Oryctolagus cuniculus: one gene and its partner. The protein of the gene in region 2 interacts with the protein of the main gene of each other region in a pairwise test. Links are inferred from orthologs where the notes say so. Each region holds a gene or a part of one and is shown on either strand. Other genes may lie near its edges.

Region 1 (3,908 bases), on a different chromosome or scaffold from region 2:
GGAGGCAACCGAGCCCTTCCCATGCAGATCCCTCAGAACAGAAAAAAGCGTTTTAAAGACACACTCTGCGGGAGTCCAAGCAGGGACGCTGCGGGTGCCCAGAGAGCGCTCAGCGAGCCCCAAGAACAGGAAGGTGGCTGTGATCGACGTGTCCGTGTAAGTGCATCTACCGGAACGAGGGCACCACTGCCCAGGACACAGGGTGCAGAAGTGGGGGAGTGCTCCCGGCACCCCACCCCAGGGCGCTCAGCCCGGGACCCAGAGGGAGCTGCCAGGAAGATGGGCTCCGGCACTGCCGCGCAGGGAGAGAGCCTGCTGCCCGTGCCAGGCATCCGTGTGCCAGCGCGGTCGTTCCTGCTGCTCCACTTCCCATCCAGCTGTTAGCAGGCCCAAGAAGGCAGTGATGGCCAAGTGCTTGGACCCCTGCCACCCACCCGGACAGGGGATGGCTTCCCAGCATCCTGGCCGCTGCCGGACCAGCCCCTGCCACCCACCCCGGACAGGGGATGGCTTCCCAGCATCCTGGCCGCTGCCGGACCAGCTCCTGCCGTTGTGGCCACTCGGAGAGTGAACCAGCGGATGGAAGATGGTGCCCCTCCCTCCCTATCATTCTGCCTTATCAATCATTTAGATCTTGACTTCTTTGAGAACAGTTGTAGTGACTGGCCAGCCCAAACCTCTTAAGACGCACGGAGCAGGGTTTTGAGATCTAGGAGAATGTGAACCACGTTGCGGTTGCACTCGGGGAACTGACATCTGGGGCTTACTTGGGAATGCGTTGTAGAAGCGCTCTAGGGTATGGGTAGGGTCTCCAACATCTAACCAAACGTTGGAGCGCCAGCAGAACGCGGGGCTGCTGGACTTGCTGAGCGCCGACCACGCACGCCGCCCGTCTCGTTGTGACCTGGGCGGGTACGACCGGTCCACGTGCGTGAGCGTGGCCTTCGCGGTGGTTTCCGCGGACAGTGCCAGGCCCAGCACGTACGTGGACCTGGGCGTGCACGGATGCAGCGCGGGTCCCTGCTCCTCGCGGGGCCGGACCCTGCTCCTGTTCCCGGCGGAAGACGCGCCGCGCGCTCCCCGGCGACTGCCAAGTGCGGCGGCCCCCTCTGCTGGAAACTGGAAACCGAGGAGCGAGCGGAACTACAGGCGGAGGCTAGTGCTGAATCAAGTCAAGAGGGCGCTGTGGCAGACACTGGGAGCCCGGCCTCCTGGGCAGGTACTAGGCGTCCCCTGGCCCTCCTCTCTCCGGCCTGGGCCCCCGGCGACCCTTTCTAGGCCGGCCCCCAGACACAGCCCCAGCCTCATCCCCAGGGTCGCAGCCCCTCCTCCCGGTGAAACCTGCTGGGCGCAGTGGGGCGGTGACCTCAGAGCAGCCGGCTCCTGCCAGGCGGGCCCGGGGCGCGGCTAGCGCCACGGGGTTAGCGGGAGGAAACGACGCCCCCGGAGTGGGTGAGGGATCCCGCAGTCTTGCTGCAGCGCTCTCGCTCAGGCTAGGGCTGTGCCTGGGGCCCGGCCACCCAGCGCGGGCCTCGTGGGAGGCCCGGGGATCCCAGCTGCTTTTAGTGCGGACCCTGTCCTCTCTCTCGGTCTAGCTCAGCCGCCTGCCCATGAGAGCCCTTCCCGGAACTGCCCCCCTGCTCTGCCCAGAACCCCGTGGCCACCCTCGGTGACTCACCCTGTCGCTTCCTCCACTTGTCCAGGGGCCCCGGGCCAACTCTTTGAACCCCGCCTCCTCTGTCCGCTGCCAGCAGGCACCGCACGCCGGGACCAGTCTGGGGCTGGGGAGACACGGAGCGTCCCCGTTCTCCCTGTCTTGCTTGTGGTCCCAGCTGGTGCAGGGCAGTCCCCTAAGCGTCACGCGGGATTCCTCCCTCCTCACACTCTCTCCCAGCAATCCCCATGTCCTGTGTCTTCTCCCTTTTTACAGCTGCTGGCCTGGTGCTCCTCGCCTTGGGTCTCGCTCCCACCCGTGTCCACACTGTGGCAGTGTGGCACAGCAGGCTTGCTAAGATGTGGCTCTGCCACGTGGCTACCCAGCTCCCACTATCTGCATGATGAAAGAAAGCTCCTCAGCGTAACTTCTGCAGACCTGGGCTCAGCTGTCAGAGCCCCCGGGACAGCGTCCTTGACCCCCCCCCCCCCCCCCGCTACTTCTCCTGTTCCCTGCCTTCGCACTTAGCACCATTCCAGCACACGCGGGGGTCTTCAGGCTTCGCATTGCCAGCACCTGGTGTCATTCCTTGCTCAGTGCAAGTCTGAAGGAAACAGACACAGCACGGCCAGTGGGTCACTGGTGCCCTGTCCAACCCAAGAGAGAGAATCCAGTAACTCCGAGGATAAGAACTCGGGTGAAAGAAACGGAGAGAGGTTTACTCAGGCTGCGAGTAGCCAGGGGAGGCGGCAGGCTAAGCAGGCTACTGCCTGAACTCCCAGCTTCTCCCAGAAAGGAAAGGAGACCAAACCTTACACTGGGGACACAGCTTCAGCCATGTGTCAATCACGGAAGGGCCCGGGGAGGCGGCCGTCCAGGCACGCCAGGGCCGCTTGGTGGCGCCCGGCTGGATAGAAGCCTGGCTGTTTCCGCTAGGAGCCCACGCTTCCTCCCTATCCCTCTTTACCTGGGATCTGCAGTCTCAACCATTTCTCTGCCGTCCTGCTGACTGGGGCGGGTCAGGTTACTCTGCAACTCTAGCCGGCTAGCTCAAGGCGTTTCTGGAATTTTCCAACAAGCATTATCTACCCGTGGAATTGAACTGACACTCTATAATGAGTCACAAGGCCAGCAGTTCACTTTTGTTCAGTCAGAATGTGAAAAGGAAAAGAAAGCTGTATTCGGGACGGATGCGTCCCCACTTCACCCACGCCTGCTGGGGCCTCCAGTGAAGTTACTACAGCCTGCAAATGAGCGAAAGGACTGTGTTGTCCGTTTGCTTGGAAAGCTGGGAGTGTGGGAACCCCAGCAGTCCCTGTGAAGATCCCGTGTTGCCTTTGGAGAAGACAGTAGGGGGTACGAGACGGTGTGTGTTCAGGATTGAGAGAGCGTGTGCATTAGGGTGTAAGAGGGCGTGATATTGTGGGAGAGCCAGTGTATTACGGGGAAAGAGAACGTGTTCTGGGGTGCAGGAGTCAGAGGGTGACCTGATGCTCCAGCCCCTCACCCAGCCCACTTGCTCTGTCCGTAGGGCTCACTGGACAGGCACTTTCTTGCTTAGGAGCTAGGGATCCTACTTCAGCTAGGTTGGTGCTGGAGTCTGAATGTCCTCGCTAAAAATCAGGCTGAAGTTATTTCCCACTGTGGGGTGTTAGGAGGTGGGGCCAGGGGCTGGTGCCATGATGTAGCGAGGAAAAGCCGCCGCCTGTGCTGCTGGCATTGCATCTGTACGTGCTCTAGTTTGAGTCCCAGCTGCCCCACTTCTGAGCCAGCTCCCTGCTAAGGTGCCTGGGAAAGGCAGTGGCAGATGGCCCAAGTGCTTGGGCCCCTGCACCCACGTGGGAGACCTGGAGGAAGCTCCTGGCTTCAGACAGTCCCAGGTGCAGCCATTTGGGGAGTGAACCAGCAGATGGAGGATATTCTCTCTCTCTCTCTCCCCTCTCCTCCCTCCCTCTGCCTTTCAAGTAAATAAATAGTTAAAAAAAAAAAAAAAGGTGGGGCCAGGTGGACGCTCGCAGCAGTGACTAGGGCTGTGCCATGAACGGACGCATGGATTCATGAGTTACTGGCTTATCTCGAGAGCCGGCCTGTTCCGAAGCCCAGTTTGCTCCTTGTCTTTCATATGTGTCCCTCTCAGTGTGTGCTCCTCTGGGTTTCCCAGAGCCACCCCCCACCCCAACCAGGGAGACAGTGCTCCTCAGATGTGGCACTTCAACCTGGGACCTCCCTGCCTCCAGGACCATGAGCCACATAA
Region 2 (3,908 bases):
GGCTTTTTCTCCTCATAATTTGAGGAAGCCCGAGTAGAGGTCAGGGGGGCAAGCGAGGATTTCCTCAGAAGCGGCCGAGAGCTGTGAATATGGTCACCTGCGCCTATCATTCTAAAATCTCCTTGACATTTTTCACACTTTGAAGCAGCTGCAGCTGGTGTCGTCGGAAAAGGGGGTGGGAAAAGAGGGGGCGGGGAGAGCGGGGAGGCGAGAGCCACGAGCAGCGCCTCCTCGCCTGCCAATCCTGGCACCTGTGCGCCGAGCCGCTGCACTGAGGAAGACCCCACTCCGGGCGAACCCCGGGCTTGAAGCCACGGACACCCAGCCTCCCGGCCGCGGGTTCGCGCAGGCGGGGGCTGCAGCTGCCCACTCGGACCACCGCAGTAGCCTGCAGCGGCGGGAGCGCACAGCCCCCTCAGAGCTGCCCACTGCGCTCCGGCCCCCGGGGATCCTCGCCCCGCGGAGGCGCAGCTGCGGGCAGAGCGTGGTACGGAGTTGGGTGCCCGATTCGCCTCGCCTGCTCGTCTCTTCTCCGCCCAGGATTTATTGTCTGTGGAGCCTTCTGGGGGTGGGGAAGGAGCTGCGCCTCCGCCACCGCCACCGCCGCCGCCGCCGCTGCCGCTGCTGCTGCGGTCGCTAGCGCGGCGCGCAGGGCAGGCGGAGGCTGGGGAGTGGACGCGCTCCTGCCTCCCCCGCCGGCGCTTCGGGCTTCCCCTCGGCGCTTCCCGCGGGAACCTCTCCAGCCGTCCACCTGAAGGGCACCGGCACCATGGTCTAACGTGGCACCTGCCTGGAATCCCCTCTTTCTCCTCCTCGTCCTCCTCCTCCCCTCTCCTCCTCCTCCTGCGAGGACCCTCGCGCCCACTCCACTGCGGACCACCGAGCACTTTAAGGAATAATCCTTGGCAGCTGCACCTCTCTCGCTCTCCGGAACCTCATGGGCAGTTTCTCCCACCGGCCATGTGAGTAAGGCACTTTCTCTCGGTGACTGAGGGGACTGCGGGGGTCTCCCCGGAGGTGAGGGTCTCCCTCCCCCCCGGGGGGGGCGGGGGCGGGAGGGCGCGAGGCTGGGGCGCTCGTTCCGAGTAGCTCGCACGGTGGCCGCGGAGGCGGCGGCGGGGATGTGGTAGGTTTCAGGGCTTTTGGAAATTGGGTGCTAACTGGGCGGGTGCACGGGAACACCGAGTGGTCTGGGCTGGCGAGAGACCCTAAAGGGTTACATACTGCGAAAAGGAGAGGTAAAGAGCGAACGTTGGGAGCTGGTGCTGGGACCACTGCTCCAGCTGAGGTTTGGCTAAAGCTCCTCTTCGTTATCTTGGGCATCTCGGTTTGCTTTTGCCAGGAGGTGTCTGAGGGATGAAGCGCGTGTTTAATCTCTCTCTCTCTCTCTCTCTCTCTCTCTCACACACACACACACACACACACACTTGTGGCAGGTTGCACTTGTCCCTTTATTGTGGAAGGTGTTGGATGACTGTCTTAATTCGTATGGATTTGACAAATGCAGTTAGGAGATCTTTATGCCATTGGGGTTCGGTGGGAAAGGGTGGGGTTTGTGGGGATGGAGTGGAGGAAGGACCATGACAGGCTGGGGGACAGAGAGAAGTGGGGTGGCGGTAGGGTGAACGCTTTCCCTGGGAGTCAGGGAGAATGATGGCCCCCTCCGCTGAGCTACACAACTCCTGCCTGCACATCTCCTTTGTGTTGCACTGAGAAGCTGGTGAACCTGCACTATTCCCCATCCAGCCGGGGCCCCCTTCAGCATTTTGCATCCTCCTTTCTGAGGCGTTTAGGATGCAGGACTTGGTTCGGATCCTACGAGGAAAGAAGAAGGGAAGCACATTAGCATTAAGGTGATCCTGGCACCCTGGCTCGCGGGCAGTTAGATTGGCTACTGGCGGTCTGCAGTTTTACTGTTTGCGGAGTCAAGAACAGGGGCGGCGGGTAGGGGGTGCATGGATTGCTTTTAAAGACAGTGTGACTTCATAATAGACGAGATGGCTGCAAAATTGCTTCATTACACTACTTCTCGGCCATCAGGGCTGAATAAAGGACCCGCCTCCGCCCTCTCCTCCCTTTCCTCTCTCGCAGCCTCCTCCCCACCAAGGCACAAAGGGAACGAATTGGGGAGGGGGGGCGGGGGCGGGAGCGCGCAGCGGGAGGCGGAGAAGGGAAGGGGTCACTTTCACAACTCCCGGGAATGGGCTTCAGAAAGGAACCATCTGCGACTCCCACGTTCCTTTCGGAGTTCTCCTTCCAAAAGCGAGGGGGGTGGGGTGGGATGGGTGACACACGGGGGTCTTCCACCTGCTCTTTTCGGTTACTTTCCCAATACACCTTGGACATACCGAATTTACTTGCAGGGGTAACTGGGTCAGCAGGTAAATATACGTACCTGTATACGTTGAAATGTAGCCCTCGTGATGGATGAAAAGCAGTTTGTGTGTGAGCAAAATTTCTAAGCACAATAGAGATTTTATAGCGTGGGCGAGAAGAGTGCATTCCAGCGAAAGCAGGACACGTGATCCCTCCAACGGGAGAGATACAGTGTTAGGAACTCGGTTTTCTTTGTTCCAGGCTGAGCCTATGAGATGCTTAGCATCCCGGCTGCTTAAGTCGTTCTATAAAAGGGCAAAATAGTCAAGTTGGCCAGAGGTGAGAATAAAGGGGGAAAAGATCATGCGTAAATCGATAAGCTGTGAAGGGCTTGAAACCTCCTCTGCCATTTCTTTTTTACTGCCCACCTTCTGTCTAACCCCTCCCCCCAGCCGGCCCCCTATTTAAAAATCAGGCATTTCCAATGGGAAAGCGGTGGAAAAGTTCTCCAGCCCCTTCACACGTGGGCTCTTCAGCGCCTCAGAACCTGCCTGGATTCCAAACAGAACTTACCACCTCTCCAGTCCCAGTGTCACGCCTCTATCCTGGGCTTCATTAATCTGACTTCCGGATTCTAAGGGAACCACCAGGAGATCTTTTTTGCAAAAGACAGTATGATACTCAAGTCCCTGCCTCCTGGAAACCCCTGATCCCAGCTAGGAAAGAATGAGAAAGTAGGGATGTAGGAATGTTTATTTTTCCTTAGGAATATCAAGACAAAAGCATACTGGAGGTGTGTTTAGCAAGGACTGCATTTGGACTCCTGTGTTATCTGAGGGCTGTGAAATGTCCTACGGTCTGGTTATTCATTAATTTAGTGGAGTTAGAACCTACTGCCTACCCAACACTAATTTAGAGTGACCTGACTTGGAGATTTCTTGTATCATCTTTACTCCACTTTTTATAAGCCATCTTAATGGGCTGAAGTTTTTTAAACTGTGGGCTATTTCTGTCTCCTACTTCATTGCATCATACTAACTTGTGTGGTAAGGAAAGCAGAATCAATTTCCATAACATATCATGAGAACTCCTTATACATTTTTTAAACATTTGACTGTCCAAGAAAAGATGCGTACTTAACCATGGCAACCGTTACGTTCTCCATCACTTATGCTTGCACATATGCAGCTTCAGAATTAGAAACAACTTCCTAAGGAAACAGATCTGGTCCAATTACAGTAGCCATGTTTTATTCAGAATTTTAGCATAGCTTTAGGCTGACATTAACATTTTCTTAATTAAAATCTAATTCTACTTTCTTTCACGAGCTTTTAATTTTTTTAATTCCTCTGTAAAATATAGAACATAGACCTAAAGTATTGTTGTGTTTGAATTTATGCTTTGGATTTTTTTTAAAAATGGAAAGATACAAATTAATATGAATCCTTATTTCTTAATAGAGTTATTAACCATATTATCTACCTGGTGTTAATTTTTCGGGATATTTCTCAGCCCTTCTTTCAATACATAATATTGTATGATACTATTTGATGTAAAAACCTAATATCTTTAACCATGACTTAAAGCATATA

Evidence for each region.
Region 1: the proteins of LRRC7 (region 2) and NQO2 interact in a two-hybrid assay, tested with the Homo sapiens proteins (2 studies listed by BioGRID). The two-hybrid records come from large-scale screens. The link is inferred for Oryctolagus cuniculus from reciprocal best matches to the Homo sapiens genes LRRC7 and NQO2.

What each region holds. Positions count from the first base shown.
Region 1 is NC_091436.1:167,062,626-167,066,533, forward strand, and holds the start of NQO2 (ribosyldihydronicotinamide dehydrogenase [quinone]), read right to left. Parts: upstream 2,684-3,908; 5' UTR 2,622-2,683; intron 2,034-2,621; exon of another isoform or gene 1,679-2,033; intron 1-1,678. UniProt on the Homo sapiens protein: The enzyme apparently serves as a quinone reductase in connection with conjugation reactions of hydroquinones involved in detoxification pathways as well as in biosynthetic processes such as the vitamin K-dependent gamma-carboxylation of glutamate residues in prothrombin synthesis.
Region 2 is NC_091438.1:102,839,856-102,843,763, reverse strand, and holds the start of LRRC7 (leucine-rich repeat-containing protein 7), read left to right. Parts: upstream 1-1,607; 5' UTR 1,608-1,794; coding exon 1,795-1,853; intron 1,854-3,908.